Rattus norvegicus: one gene and its partner. The protein of the gene in region 1 purifies or fractionates together with the protein of each later gene. This does not show direct contact. Links are inferred from orthologs where the notes say so. Each region holds a gene or a part of one and is shown in the gene's direction. Other genes may lie near its edges.

Region 1 (8,273 bases):
CCTCCAAGAAGCCTGGGACAGAAGACTGTCTACCCCTTCGTTTATGTATATATGACTGTTCCAGATCTTCCACTGACCTCTGGGTGTAGGTTTTAAATTTTTATATCTATATATACATATATAATGTATAGTATATACATAGGATTATAACTACTTTGCTTTTAATAATTTTATGAAATGGCAAAGGTTTAGCTAAAAGGAAACTTTGGCATGAATGTGGGCTTGGAATTATTTTTTTGTGAAAAAAAATCTGCCTTAAAAAAATCAGTGTAATTTGGGGACTAGGGGCTTATTCTGGGTGCCATATGTATCTCCTTGTAAAATGCTAAAATGTGATTTTTTTTCCAAGCTTGGGTTTGCCTGCAGACCCATCGCTGACCATTTGCCTTACCTGTCTTAGAATCAGAAGTGTAGTGAAGATCATGGGAGGAGGCCAGCTGACTACAGACTTTCCAACATGGGATAATCTGGGGGAGGTGGAGCTTAGGTGGACTGAGTAGGGGACTCATTCCCGTTCCTGCTAAAGAGGTATCTGTGTCTCCAGTTTTATTGTACCCACAGTACCACAGAGTCGTGGGCACCATCTATAGCCTCAGTGTGTGATTCTTGGCCACAGAAAAATAAATACCTTGGAGAAACCAAAGCTGTTGGTGCCACCTGTTGAACCTGCTTGTCTGGCCAGCAAGGCTTGGTGTACAAAACACAAAGCTGCCGTCTTTCACTGGCGGCATTGGGTGCCCACCAACTCCCGAGAGATTCTGCAGCTTAGCTGCCTGGTGGCTCTTGGTTCAGCTCTGGTTCCCCTGGTGGGTACTTTGTGCTCTGCATTCCACACGGAGCTGGACCACAGAGAAGTCCTTGGTTCTCAGTAGGGTTATCTATATGTGTGTTTGAGTGTATATTTTAATTATGTGTATTTAACTCTTTAGAATTTCTTAGATTTTAATTTATCCTGTAAATTTCTGTACATATAATTTAAAAACAAGCCTCCAGCAGCAGGAACATGTGGAGCATACAGATTTGTCATTTCTTAATGTCTGTCTAAAAGCCTCAAGTCGTCCATATGTTTAGGTGTTGTGACTCAGAAAGGAACTTCATGGCCCTCAATAATGTTAGGAAAGTGAAATAGAAAGGAATGGCACCATTCTAACTGCCCTTATTCCCAAAGAACCAGGCCTGCTTCCCATCAGAGAGAAGATATCTCAACACTCCAGGGTTGTTTGGAAATGTGGTGAGTTAGCCAAGCTTTCTTCCTCTGGCCTGGAAGAACATGGCAGCATCACTGTAAACCTCTGGGGACCATGTAGCCAGCTGGCATCCTAGGTAACACCTTCCCATAGCCCGACTGCTGTCATGGCCGAGCTTCTCACAGGAGTTCTGGAGGCTCTGTCCCCATCTCAGCTCAGAGCAGTGCTGAGATGTAATCTGAGAAATGGAGACAGGAACAGGAATATGTGGGAACTGAAATCAAGCAAAGCAGAAATTTAAATTTGAGTTAACATGTCAGAACCTCCTTTGAACCTGCAGAAGTTTGCTGTGAGGAACGGCACCCAGGAGAGGCCAAGGAAGGCATGTATCGTTTAGGAAGCAGCCAGTCCTCCATTGCCCTTGCTACAGACAGTTGTGAACTCCTGAGGAGAACGGGCTTTTTCGTGTTTGTTTTCCTCTGAAGCCTAGCCCTGTTGTATTTGTATTAAAGATTTGTACACATTTGTATAATAATCTGTACCTTGTGGTATTTGGTACTATTAGAGGAAAAACTTTGGATTCAGGCCTTCTTGCTGTTTTTATATCATTGTTTTATTTTGTTTTTTAAATAAATCCTAGTGGTTTGATCCAAATCCTATTACAGTTGTATAAAGAAACAAAATTTTGTACTTATATTAAAGATCTCATTTTTAATATTTATAGTCCAGTCTTAGCTGTCTTTTCCCTAATTGGGCTAGTCATAGTTGCTATAAAATTGTAAAACCTGTCATTCACTCTACTCTACCCTAGCATTTCTCTAAAAGGGCGGGGGGTGGGGGGGTTGAAGAGATGGTTCATTGGTTATGACTATTTCCTGCTCTTGGAAAGGACCCAAGTTAGATCCCAGCATTCATTCAACCGAATGTAAGTCCAGTCCCAGAGGATCAGTCACCCTCTGTGGCCTCCTTAGGCACAGGCACACAAGTGCATACACCCACACAGAGGTACACACCAAACATAATTAAAATTTTAAAGTTTTTAAACCAAAACCTGAAATAAAGGCCAAGTTACCACATTCCTATCGATCCTGAGCCATGCAGCCCTGTGTCTCAGGTTGAACACACCTTATATGTAAAGGCTCTCAAATATCACTTTCTTATATTATAAAAGGAGAGAATCGGATAAGTGTGGCTCTAGTGCTTGGCAGATGAAACCATATACAATATGTTATTGGCCTACATCAAGAAGTATCCATCAATCTTTGTCAGGGTTGCATGAAAATCCTATGCTAAAAAGTAGTTCATATCCCAGGATCTTTCCAGAGTCTTGTCTATTTAAAAAAAAATGGGGATGTGATGTCACCTCCTTGTCTCTGAGTCTACAGCCATGTGGCCTGACGTGAATGTGTGCTAATACTATAAACACTGAAATATGGAAATTTGGCCTTTCATGGCTAAGGAAAAAGTTAATGGAAATACAAGATGTTAAAAATCATAAGTAGCAAAACACGAATAATAATTAAAGGCTGCATGTTGTAATGTACATACACCTTTAATTCCAACACCCCTGAGATCTGAGTTTGAAACCAGCCTTGGGAGACTGTGTCCAAAAAAACGGGATGCAGAGCATTGGCTTTTAATGTGACAAGGTCCTAGGATGAGCCCCAGCCCTGCCAAGAATGGAAGAGAGGAAGTGAGATGTCCCACGGTACTTGTTTAATCTCAAGAGATTAAATGTGAAAGAATCAATTCCTCGTAAGTTTCGATCTGACACATACAGGATTTTTAAAAATTACAAATTTAAAACATAATGCCTGGCACTGGAGAGGTGGCTCAGAGGATAAGAGCAATGACTGCTCTTCCAGAGGTCCTGAGTTCAATTTCCAGCAACCACCTGGTGGCTCACAACCATCTGTGATGGGCCAGTGCCCTCTTCTGGTGTGTCTGAAGACAGCAACAGTGCGTACTCATACATAAATAAATAAATCTAAAAAAAATTAAAAACATAATACAAAGATACAGCAAGGAAGAAGCAACCATCGCGGAATGCCTGTTGAGTGATTTTCATGTCATCTCAATACTCTGAAAGCATTACATTATGGATATTGGTCGTCCCACCACCACCTTTACAGATGAGGGGAACAGGTAAAGAAAAAGCACTTTTCTGGTTTCCCAAGAGCCAAGGTGGATGAGGTGGCTTACCAGGTAAAGGAACTTGCCACAGTATGTTCAGTTCATTCTCTGTCTCAAAGGAGCACAAACCCAGGTCCTTGCCTCCTCTTTGGCCACAAACGAGTGGCTCCTGGAGCAGGGAGACATCAAATAGAAATTTCGAGTCCGACTTGGACAGGAGGCTATCGTCCTTAGGGCTTGGTCCCCAAGACTAAAGGCTAAGATGCTAATATTTTCGTTATCTTGCGTAACCTGACCCAGGTCTTTCCTTGGCCAGAGACCCAGTTTCCGGATGTGAAGACTTCTAGGCTCCACTGCGGCGCACATAGAAGTTTCGGGGGCGTGGCTTAGGAGCCAGCTCTCCCAGGCCCCGCCCTGGTGTGGCGTCAGCCACTGCCGAGGGGCAGCCCGGTAGGGGGCGGGGCTCGTGGCTGCGCCCCAGAGCCCCCGCCTGCCGGCACCTCCCCGCGGGCCGGCCAGCGGGTCACGTGACGGGTCGGCGGCGCCGGCGGTTGCTGTCACCTGATTCTGGGAGCTGGTGGCAGTGGTAGCCGCGGCAATGGACTTTCTCCTGGGAAACCCGTTCAGTTCTCCCGTGGGACAGCGGATCGGTGAGTCCCGGGAGCCGCGTGCAGTCCCGCCCCTGTGTGCCGCTCTGGCCTCGACCCTGGGACCTGTCGGAGTCCACAGTCAGGGCTGGGAGGAGGGAGGCTAGGCTGCGAGGCTGGCGCGGCGCTCTGGGCTCCGCCTACCCTATGACTCCCACCTGATTGACAAGAGCACAGGCCAATCGGAATTCTTATATGGGGATTGATGCTTGATGTAACCAATAGGCAGGAGAAGGAGACAGTTCTGGGCGGATGTGGCTCAGCCAATGTGTGCGTGCTGGGGTCCAGAGTAGAGGGAGAAAGTTTGGGTTAAAGGGACTGCTGTGGTGAGAAGGCGTTGGGCCGCGCCACCGCTGGGCGCGCGCAGGCTTAGAGCCTCTCCCGGGCTGGCGGCGCCTGGGTCATTCGCCGCGTCACCCGCCGCTCACATTCCGAGACGCCGGGGTATCTAGGTTCGGCCGCGCCTCTGTCCCCATGGTCGGGAGACTCGGGTTTATGTGACGTCGCCTCCTTGATGGTCCTCGCCCATAGTTTAAGGATCATGGCATGGCCTTGCTGGACTTCTTTGATCATTAAATGCATTAATAAGCGCGAGGCATTGAGGATGTTTCCTGGCACATGGCTAACGCCTGTCATTGTCAACGAGGTACCGCCTACTGAAGCTGGAGCCCATGGGAAGATGCCGGCGCCCAGCATCTACTCTCGGGCGAAGGCCAGCTGGCGACATTTACCCAGGAATGGGTGGTCTGGGCGTGACACACATCCCCTTTATCTGACCGCATTGTGAAATTATTTTTGATGTTTTTTTTTCGCCGTTGGTCCAGCCTGGGAAGGCTGGATCTGAAAGCCAAGGCTTCCCCGAAGTCGTTAGTCCAGCTGTGTTGTAACCACCACTGCAGCTGTTAGTGGCTCTTTTGAGGTTCTCATCAGTTCTCTGCAGGGAACTCTGGCGCCTGGAGCCCAGGTGCTTCACAAAAACCCCACCATAAATCGTTGTTTGAGACCCGGAAAGAGAAGGCAGCCCTCTTCTCAGATGTCTTATGTAAAGACAAAGGCAAATTAGTCTGGCCTTCAAAGCCAGCCTGAAAGTCCAGAGACCTGGATAAGCTCATTTGGGTTTAAGATGCCGTTCAGTTCAAAGCTCAGCATCTCTTCCTGCCCTGAAAGTTTGCCTGCCTCGGGCAAAAAATACTCCTGGATAAGAGTGCTGCTACATCAGTACCTTGGAGCGCTGATTAAATCTCACTGCTGGACCCTCTCTGCCTTGGGGTTCATGTCAGAATAGGTTGGACCGATCCAAGACTCAGATGGGCAGGTGTAGGGTTCCCAGTCATGTTCTTTGCAGTTGGCTGGGAGAGCACACGTTTCGAAACCTCCCACCAGAAGCGGTGGCTCACATCTGTAATCCTACACCCAGGAGACTAAGACAGGAGGATTGCCACAAAGTCCCAGGCTAACTGGACTCTGAAATTCATTGCAGGGCAGCATAAGCTGCAGTGTAAGACCCTGTTTCAAACAAAACACCAGTCCATTCTGTCCCGTGGCCCTTCCCTTTACTGAGAGGAAGAGATCAAGTTCTACAGAAGGAAGGGGGTGAAGACTGAGGAACCCCCAAAATCCAGTGCAGTGCGATGAGATGGCAAAGCTGTAAAAGAGCCAGGGGTGGTGGAACAGCACTTAGGAGGCTGAAACAGGAAGATTTTGAGTTCAAGTCCAGCCTGGGCTACAGAGAGAGACCCTACCTTGAAGAACAACAGCAGTGTTCCATACTCTTCCGTGTGTCAAGATAGAAGCACTGGAGGTTGAGCCTGCGTTGGTTTTTTTGAGACAGGGTCTCTCAGTGTTGACCAGGTTGGTCAGGAGCTTCAGGCCTTAAGCAGTCCTCCCCCATCAGCTTCCAAGTGGCGAAGACCTGACTGGCTGTGATGATTGGTGGCCAGGTTTTAGCTGCTTGTATTCTTTATAGCCCAGGCCCCTCTTTGCTGCAGGAGTAAAGTGGTATCTTCTCAGGTCTGCTGACCTCCTGCCCTAAGAGTGGAGTGTTATAGGATTAACATCCTAGGGGATAGCAGTCGTTCAGTGGTGCTAATCAGGGCCCAGTGTCACTGGCCTCACAATTCACATACACCTTGACACTTGGCTGGTCTCACTGGAAATTTCTGCTGCTGTGAGGAGCTGGGCTCATGCCCGGAAGCACTGGGCACCACCTCCTCCCTGAGGCCGTGTCCCATCTCCTGACCCAATCTCTGCTCTTGTGTTCTGTCCTCAGTCTGCGTCCTGTAGGCACAAAACAGCTCTCACCTCAAGGGAAATCAGAGATACTTCATTCTATCCCCGGACCAAATATGAATTGCCATGACCCAAGAATACAGATTCGCATCACCCCAAATAACGTGGTCCAATGTGGAAATGGTTTCATGATATTTTTTGTAGTTGCAGAGAACAAAAGCAAGCCATAAACCAGACACTCAGGCTACAGCAAAGCATGAAAATCTAGGCTCCATGTCTCAGGTGCTAGCTGATGACATTACTAAGTTTGGGTTGGTAGACACTAGTTTTCTATTAACTTATTCCAAAAGGCGTTACCTGGTAGTCACAGAAATGTTAGGTCAGACACAAGATAAGCAATAAGTGGTTACTAAGGGTCTAAAGCAAGGTAATTTGTCTCAAGATCTGCAGCATTCCAACTCTCCGCCATCACAAAGTTGTAGTCAACCTTCTAACATCTTTAACCCAGGTGTAGCTTTCGTGGGAACTTTAGTTTGTAAACTTGAACGCTCTTGCCTGAGAGAGGTTATAAGGAAGCCAGTCTTTCAGAGTGCCTGTGCAGTGAGAGGGTATGGGAAACAGCTCCCGCCACCTCGTGTTCTTGTTCCACCTCCATCACACTGATGTATCACTGTCCCTGAAAGGCTGTCCCCAGCCTGGCATGAGTTGAGAGCAGGAGCTCTCCTTTTCTTTCCTGATGCCTCAGCACCTAGAAGGAGGTGACCAGGAAAAAAAGAAAAAAGGAAGGACATGGCTTGGTCTTGAGTATGGTGAAGGAGAAAGTTTATTGTAGATAAAAGGGAAAGCATAGCCAGAAGCAAAGACCTCTGGGAGAATTCAGAGTGAACATGGGTGCCCAGCAGGGAGGGAGCAGAGCCACACCAAGAGGCCTGCAAGGTAAAAGGTACATGAAAAAAGACCAGAGAACCAAAATTATTAGATTGTGTAGGGAAGGGCAGCTGTGGGGAGGGAAGTCTAGGCTAATACCTGGGCTGGAGAAATTTAGGGCAGGGGTTGGAATGTGCAGGACAGGAGGACCTTGCAACCCGCAGGGACTGAGGGATACTGGGAGAACCTGGAGGCCAGGTTCGCTTCGATATGTTAAATAAGCACCTCGGGCGTGTCTGTTGGTCTGGGGTTTGAGCCTTAACTGGTGGGAGAGTAGCCTAACTACTCAGGGTCACAACGTTCTCCCTTGCCTCTGAACACACCAGTCTACTCTGGTCCTAGCTTGAATTTATATCAGCAGGACCCCGCAGGATTAATCTGTGTTATTAATCTACCAAAGATTATAGCATAATGGTGAGTTTTCACCCACCTCCGAGTCACTCTAGAAGAGCCCCACAAGGGCGGCCGCAGCCTGTGGCCCCCAGCGTCCAGTGGCCTATACCAGGTAGTATCCCTTGTCTGCCCCAACTATTGCAGCCCTGTCTCCCCTGCTCATCTATAATGGAACACGGACGTACCCCCACTTTTCCTTCCCAAAGGGCTGGTGAACAGCAGCTGCAAGGTAATGAGAATGGGGAAGGGTTAGTGCTGCACAGCACAGAGGGGCAGTGTACTATTCCAAGAAGTCAGTGCCAGGTTAGGCAGCCAACCCTGGACCTGTCAGAGACTGGCTAGGTAGAGGTCAAAGGCTAGGACTTCAGAGGACTCTCACATGACTATCGGGGTGGACTAGACCAGGCTTACTCTGCAAAGGACTTCACAGTAAATCCTCAAGGCTTTAGAGGCCATCTGGTCTCTGTTGAAATACTCAACAGGATCATTTCTGCAGAGCAGCCAAAGACAATAGGTAAAAGAATGGGTGTGACCATGCTCCAATAAAACTGTATGGGCCGTGTATTTGAGTTCGTGTCATCGCCATATGTCATTAAACATCATTCTTCTCGGGTGTGGTACTGCACGTCTCTAATCCCAGTACTCAGGAGACAGAGACAGAGGCAGGCTGATCCAGGCTAGCCTGGTCTGCATAGTGAGACCCTATTTCAACACAGTGTTTACATAGGGCTTTGCCTTGGCTGGACAAATACTAGTA
Region 2 (7,825 bases), on another chromosome or scaffold:
ACGGGTTTGTATCCATCGGGTTCTACTTTCTAGGAATGAAGACGTATCTTTATATAGATACCAGCAACAGTCAGTCAGAGGGTAACAAGAAACTCTGAAAGGTTTGGTTTCAGTGTTGTCAGGGTTTTCTGTAGTTTACCATCACCATTGTGTCCACTCTTCAGCCTCTTTATTCTAAATCAGTCCTTGGAAACTTGTTTGTTTTTAAATGATAGATACGTTTGCTAAAACTCATTTTGAAATTTGTATTTAGTTAGGTTTTTTGTTGTTGTTGCTGTGAAATAAGTGCATAATCAAATTTTCCATTGTAAAGTGAACATCTCAGTGGCTTTTAGTGAGTTGAGTGTTGCAAATCAACACTCTTTCCCACTTTCCAGGCTCTCAGCACTGAGAAAGGAGAGCTTCTTTTTAGTAAATCTTCATGTACTCCCTTCTCATAGAACCTCACAGCTGCCAAACCACACCCAACTCCTGTGGATTTCCCTGTTCTGTATTTTTTTTTTTAATTAAAGTATTTATTACTTGTGCACAAGTATGTAGAAGTCAGAACAACTAGTGGGAATCTTTTATCTCCTCAATGTATGTGGGTCTCATGAACCACTCTGGTCATCAGCCTTGGTGGCAAGCTACCTATTAAGCCATATTGCTGACCCCTGTACATTTCATATAAATGTATGGCCTCTGGTTCTTCCTCCTGCAGTGCTGAATGCCTGGCCGCAGAAAAACATTTCTGAGTTTCCCTGAATCATTTCTTTGCTTTGCAGCTAAAATCAAGTATTTCAATAATGGTTCTCTATAATTAGATTTTTAGATCATACATCTCTACTTGGAATACTGCTTAAATAATGTTTGCTCTGTGCTGCCATTTTCTTTCTTTATGTTGCCAGTCTCCACTGAATTGTCCACTTCCCATTCGGGAGTACTTTGGTAAAGAAATGAGCACACTCACCCACAGGTCCTTTCTCCTTGTCCCTGCTTACTAGGCCTTTGTAACCTAAGACATTGTTACTAGGTTGATGACTACTGTAGCCCTTTCTCCTGTTTACCAGTTACAGGTTAGAGTTACTGGGCCTGCATGAATGAGGCCCTGATTACAATCACAGCACTGAAAAAAAGTTCTGTCATATTTATTCGTCAGTATTCTCGGATTTATGGACTCCTGTTGTACTCTGAATTACAGTCCATTACTGTAATTTCTGTTAGCATTCACATTGTTGCCTGGTTGTTGATGAACTTCAAGGTTCATTGTGCAACTTTCCCAGATTAGAGTTGCCCATTTTTCCAGGCAGCCCCTACCCTTTTTAATGAAAGATGCCGTTAGTAACTGAGTTCTGCCCTGAAGATTGCTTCTAGCGTTGTTCTGTGGTCAGATCTTAGAAACTTATCTGTGTTTGTATGTGCTTTCAAAGATGATACATATTTATATGCAGGTGTATGGAAAAGTGTTCAGTATCTAATGAAACACTGGAAGAAAGTTTTGAAGGCAACCAGACCTGTATTAGAGTGTAATACAAAGCTATGATTTAAAGTTAATACAATACTAGTGCTTGAACATCAAAAATAAGCTAAATATGCGAGTGTGTGTCTGTAATTCTAGCATGTGAGAAGTAGAGGAGGATAAAGAAATTTGAAGCTCAAGCAAAGAAGAAAACCAGGTGCTATACTAGGAGTCTTCTAAAAAGCTCCTAAAATTTCTTTTTTCTTTTCATTGTTGAATTCTAATGGGAATATTTGACTGTGATATTCCCTAGATTTTTTTTTTTAAAGAGTTGACATGATTGCAAATAACTGTCAGACTCGTTTTCTGTAATTGCGCTGAAATTAACCTGGCTGTTTTAATTAGGTTTGCAATGAGAATTCCCTCTTCAAAAGTCTTTCTCGCTACCTGGTCCGTCGAAAGGATCCAGAGTTGTGGGGTAGTGTGCTACTGGAAAGCAATCCATACAGAAGACCATTAATTGACCAGGTAAATGTGACAAAAATGTTTCACTTCTTTCTGACCTGGAATACTTTCCTCTCATTACATATCCAAATATATTCAAATGGGTCATATTTAACTATAACAGAAGACACAAAAAGTAAAAAAAACATTAAAATTGTACTATATAAATGTAAAATTGTTTGTGTGTGTGTGTGTGTGTGTGTGTGTGTGTGTGTGTGTGTGTGTAAAATATTATAAGGAAAGTGAAATCTAAAACCATAAATTTATATTAAGTTCATCACCATTAAAGAAAGGGAATAAATTAGGATTGACTCCAAATCGTTAGCTGATACATGACTGAAATTAAGACATTGAAAGCAGTAAGTCAGCACACAAAGAGGATTGATAATTCAAAAACCAAAAATCCAAGTAATGTTTGGGTCTAACAGCTTAAAGTCCCTAGTACTTAGGAGTTTGAGAGAGAAAGAAAGAGTATGAGTTTGAGTTAATTAACATCATCCTGTGAGTGTAGCAAGATTCTATCTCCAATTCTTTTCTAAATTCCAAGTATCATGAAGATTATTGGTAAGTGTGACCCAGTTTCTGGTTACTAGCATCGCCTACAAGCAGGGCTGGGTAGGCAGACAGGAAGACCTCTGGAGCATGCTGGTGACTGGCAAGACACAGCACCTGTACACCTTCATGCACACACTGTACCCAAACCAGTATAAGAATTCTAACTAAGTAACACAGCACTGCAGTGGAGATTTTTATACCTATATGAAATTGAAATCTTGAATTTAAAGCGCTAATTATTGCTTGTTATAATAATGATTCTTAAATTCTTCTGACACACAAAAAGAGAGTGACACACACTCTCTAGAAAGCATTTCCAAGGCGCATTCCCATGTAGATAAAGCTTCCTGCACTCATGGCATCTGGGCATATGGAAGTAGACAAACGAGGGTTGTTCATTTCCTAATCTGTGTCTAGGGATTTGAAGATGAGGACCCATTACAGTAATAGTGATAAGTTATCATGGATAGTGTTCTATCAGGGAAAGTGCAAGTGACATAACTGCTGATGGGAACATAATTATAAACAATGTGTGTCCATGTATATTGTGTACAAAGGTCTTCGAGTAGAAAGGGCATTTTTCCTTCTATTTGAGATTTTCTATTGAGATGTTAACTAACTTATTGTTACCAGCCAATGTCTTTTTAAAAACACCTTGATTTTTTATTTTTTTATTTTTTTAACTCTTCCATGTATGTCCTTTGTAGGTCGTACAGACAGCCTTGTCTGAAACTCAGGACCCAGAAGAAGTGTCAGTAACTGTCAAGGCTTTTATGACAGCAGATCTTCCTAATGAACTCATTGAGCTGCTGGAGAAAATTGTCCTTGATAACTCTGTATTCAGTGAACACAGGTAAGCTGGCAGGGGATTGCATTGGCTTTCTCAGTCTTTCACTGTGGCCTGTCAGTTTGGGGAAGGAACAGAAACAAAGTGAATAGGCAGCTTTCTTTTTTTTTTTTTTTTTTTTTTTTTTTGGTTCTTTTTTTCGGAGCTGGGGATCGAACCCAGGGCCTTGCGCTTCCTAGGTAAGCGCTCTACCACTGAGCTAAATCCCCAGCCCCAAAAGTAATCACCTTTTTTAAACTTTTTTTTTTTTTCGGAGCTGGGGACCGAACCCAGGGCCTTGCGCTTCCTAGGCAAGTGCTCTACCACTGAGCTAAATCCCCAACTAGGCAGCTTTCTTGATTGTTACTCTCCTAATACTGTCTCTTCTTACCTTGACCTTGACACAAGTAACCGTCTAGTGCCACAGTGTTTCCTCATCATTGATGACCTTTTTAAACATTGTGTTGAATGTTTGTTTCTTAAGGAATCTGCAAAACCTCCTCATCCTCACTGCAATTAAGGCTGACCGAACCCGAGTTATGGAGTATATTAACCGCCTGGACAATTATGATGCGCCAGATATTGCCAACATTGCCATCAGCAATGAGCTCTTCGAAGAAGCATTTGCTATTTTCCGGAAGTTTGATGTCAATACTTCAGCAGTGCAGGTAAATCATGAAGTTACATAAATTGAGATACTGACTCTAATGTCTTGATGTTAAGAATATATTGTCTTGTGAGCGTGTGCACAGATTGCTTTCACAGAATAATCATAAAATGCTGTCTGTTTAAATGTAATTCTGTTGGGTAAGATCCATTTTACTGTAACACCAATTCAAAAATGTTGCCCAGGTGTTAATTGAACATATTGGAAACCTGGATCGTGCATATGAGTTTGCTGAACGCTGCAATGAGCCTGCTGTTTGGAGTCAACTCGCAAAAGCTCAGTTGCAGAAAGGGATGGTGAAGGAAGCCATTGATTCTTACATCAAAGCAGATGATCCTTCGTCTTACATGGAAGTTGTTCAGGCCGCCAATACTAGTGGTAAGGCTTCTTGTCTATGTCTTTAAGACCTCCAAACAATTACTAAGCCAAACATTCAGTACATTCTATACTTTTGCTAGTATAGAGGTTAGCACTCCCTGGTTACTTGTGAAAACGTTCAGCTCAGCATCTCAGACTGACTGAATTATATGAATTTAGAAAATCCAGGGGGCTGGAGAGATGGCTCAGCGGTTAAGAGCACCGACTGCTCTTCCAGAGGTCCTGAGTTCAATTCCCAGCAACCACATGGTGGCTCACAACCATCTATAAAGAGATCCGATGCCCTCTTCTGGTGTGTCTGAAGACAGCTACAGTGTACTTATATATAATAAATGAATAAATTAAAAAAAAAAAAGAAAATCCATGGAGAAAATTAATTTTGTTTTGAGGTCTGATAAAATCCTGATAGAGCTCTAGTATATAACTTTAAAGTGGGGAGAAGTATCAAGCAATTTTAGGGCAGTAATAATACAGACGTGTAGTGGAATTTTTAGACTTTAGATATATCCAGTTTTACATTTGTCATTCTACATAATATTTCTTTGAAAAAAGAGTTAAGCTGGTGTGGTGATGTACTCCTGCCACTGAGGCAGGAGGCCTTAAATTCACGGACTGCCTAGGCTATATACATAGCATGACACTCTCAAAAAACAAATTAGCAGGGGGACATCTAACATATTTGGTTGGAAATATAAGAGTGCTAGTTTATGGGCTTATTTTTCTCTTTATTTAGGAAACTGGGAAGAATTGGTGAAGTATTTGCAGATGGCACGCAAGAAGGCCCGAGAGTCCTACGTGGAGACAGAATTGATATTTGCACTGGCTAAAACAAACCGTCTTGCAGAATTAGAAGAGTTCATCAATGGGCCAAATAATGCTCATATTCAGCAAGTGAGTTTCCTGTTTAAATTCCCTCCCCTCTCGTGTGTGTGTGTGTGTGTGTGTGTGTGTGTGTGTGTGTGTGTGTGTGTGTGCGTGTGTGCGCGCGCGCGCGTGTTTAGTGGGATGCTCGCATAAAAGTGCATATGAAGGCCAAGGGCAGGCTTTATTTTTATTCCTTAGAAACCATCCACTTAGAAAAAAACAACAGGGTCTCTTGTTGGCATGGGTCTAAGTAATTTGAGCTAGCTGGCCAGCAAGCACAAAAGACTGACCTACCACTCTGCTGGGATTCCAAGCACACACCACACCTGACTTTTTATGTGGGTCATGGATATTAACTCACATCCTATTGTTTACACGGCAAGTACTTTCCAACTGAGTTATCTTCCTACCTCCACATTTTAACACATGAAAATTCAATGAGCAGCTTACCACCCTGGCAGAATCAATGTGTTAGGACTATGAAATTAAACTGTTCTTAGGAGTGTGTATATGTTCATTCATTTTATTTGTAATTTTTGAGATGGAATTCCTCAGTGGCATGAAGGATGTGTCTTTAAACTTGGTAAACTGCATCAACTTCTGGGTGCTGGATTACAGCATATGCATATCTTTTCCTTTGGTGTAAGATACAAATTTTGAAAAAGGATTGAGCTGACACCTGTATTTTACTGATCGTGGATTGCTTTTCCCCCCTAGGTTGGTGACCGTTGTTATGATGAGAAAATGTATGATGCTGCTAAGTTGTTGTACAATAATGTTTCTAACTTTGGACGTTTGGCGTCTACCCTGGTTCACCTTGGCGAGTATCAGGCAGCAGTTGATGGTGCTAGAAAAGCTAATAGTACTCGAACATGGAAAGAGGTATTCTAAACCCAGGTTCCAATCAGGAGTTAACGTTTTGTTTGAAAACTTTTTTCTACTGTTGAGTTGAAATAATTGCATTTATTTATATTTGAGTTCTCATAGTGGAAAATGTTTTTTCTAGGTCTGCTTTGCCTGTGTAGATGGGAAAGAGTTTCGCCTTGCTCAGATGTGTGGACTCCATATTGTTGTGCATGCAGATGAATTAGAGGAGCTTATCAACTACTATCAGGTAATGACACCAGACCTTTACATGAATTGAAACCTTTGTACGCATATTCTCTCTAATTGCATTTTTTCTTCGTATAGGATCGTGGATATTTTGAAGAACTCATCACCATGTTGGAGGCAGCCTTGGGACTAGAGCGAGCTCACATGGGAATGTTCACAGAGCTAGCAATTTTGTATTCTAAATTCAAGCCACAGAAAATGAGGGAACACCTAGAGTTGTTTTGGTCAAGAGTGAATATTCCTAAGGTAACCAGTCTTCACCACTGTGAGGCGACTCTAATAATTTAAAATACATTTTCCTTGTTAGGCTGATAGCAAGAGTAAGATTTACATCTAAAGCAACTGGTTTTGTCCTCAGGTGCTGAGAGCCGCAGAGCAAGCCCATCTTTGGGCAGAGCTGGTGTTTCTGTATGACAAGTATGAAGAGTATGATAATGCCATCATCACTATGATGAATCACCCCACCGACGCATGGAAGGAAGGGCAGTTCAAAGACATCATCACCAAGGTGGCTAATGTGGAACTGTACTACAAAGCAATCCAGTTCTACTTAGAATTCAAGCCCTTGTTGTTAAATGACTTGCTCATGGTGCTGTCTCCACGGTTGGATCATACTCGTGCAGTCAATTATTTCAGCAAGGTAACTTCTTGCCCTGAACTCTACAGTGAGGATTTTGACAGATTGGATAACAGTTCTCAGCTGTGGATATCTTTCTAACAAACTTTATTTTAAAGGTTAAACAGCTACCACTGGTGAAACCATATTTACGCTCAGTTCAGAACCACAACAACAAGTCCGTGAACGAATCCCTGAACAACCTCTTTATCACAGAGGAGGATTACCAGGTAAAGCCTTGGGTTCTGTAAACACTCAGCATCACACTCTGACAGGGTTAACTGACGGGGCTCTGTGGTAACAACCCCAGTTAGCCTTACATTTCTAAGTAGCAGGCACATCGATGCTTACGCCCTAAATTCAGCAAGGTTTTCGTGATGGGTAAGTGTTCGGTTTTATAATAAGTTCTACTCTTTGGGTTAGACACATTTTATATATGCTTTGATAAAACAGTTTAACATGTGGGTCCTTGCTCTCTTACATCCTTATTCCACATCCCAGAGACACTGATCTTTCAGTCTATAAACTTAACTGCTGTAAAGTGGACCTAACAATTTGTCACTTTTCTTTTTTTTTTTTTTTTTTTTTTTTTTATAACTGTAGCCATTTTGGTTTTTTTTTTTTTTTGTTTTTTTTTTTAGATTTATTTATTTATTATATATATATAAGTACACTGTAGCTGTCTTCAGATACACCAGAAGAGGGCATCGGATCTCTTTACAGATGGTTGTGAGCCACCATGTGGTTGCTGGGAATTGAACTCATGACCTCTGAAAGAGCAGTCGGGTGCTCTTAACTGCTGAGCCATCTCTCCAGCCCAATTTGTCACTTTTCTTACCTAATGTCTTATTATTTGTCATGTAA

What was found.
Region 2: the proteins of Tom1 (region 1) and Cltc purify together in Homo sapiens (affinity purification with western blotting, with the first as the bait; 3 studies listed by BioGRID). This does not show direct contact. The link is inferred for Rattus norvegicus from reciprocal best matches to the Homo sapiens genes TOM1 and CLTC.

The regions. Positions count from the first base shown.
Region 1 is NC_086037.1:13,407,397-13,415,669, forward strand, and holds the start of Tom1 (target of Myb1 membrane trafficking protein), read left to right. Parts: upstream 1-3,847; 5' UTR 3,848-3,918; coding exon 3,919-3,970; exon of another isoform or gene 3,971-7,179; intron 7,180-8,273.
Region 2 is NC_086028.1:72,023,742-72,031,566, reverse strand, and holds part of Cltc (clathrin heavy chain 1), read left to right. Parts: intron 1-1,843; coding exon 1,844-1,966; intron 1,967-3,204; coding exon 3,205-3,350; intron 3,351-3,807; coding exon 3,808-3,991; intron 3,992-4,175; coding exon 4,176-4,368; intron 4,369-5,101; coding exon 5,102-5,259; intron 5,260-5,949; coding exon 5,950-6,114; intron 6,115-6,238; coding exon 6,239-6,346; intron 6,347-6,423; coding exon 6,424-6,591; intron 6,592-6,703; coding exon 6,704-6,985; intron 6,986-7,080; coding exon 7,081-7,191; intron 7,192-7,825. UniProt on the Homo sapiens protein: Clathrin is the major protein of the polyhedral coat of coated pits and vesicles. Two different adapter protein complexes link the clathrin lattice either to the plasma membrane or to the trans-Golgi network.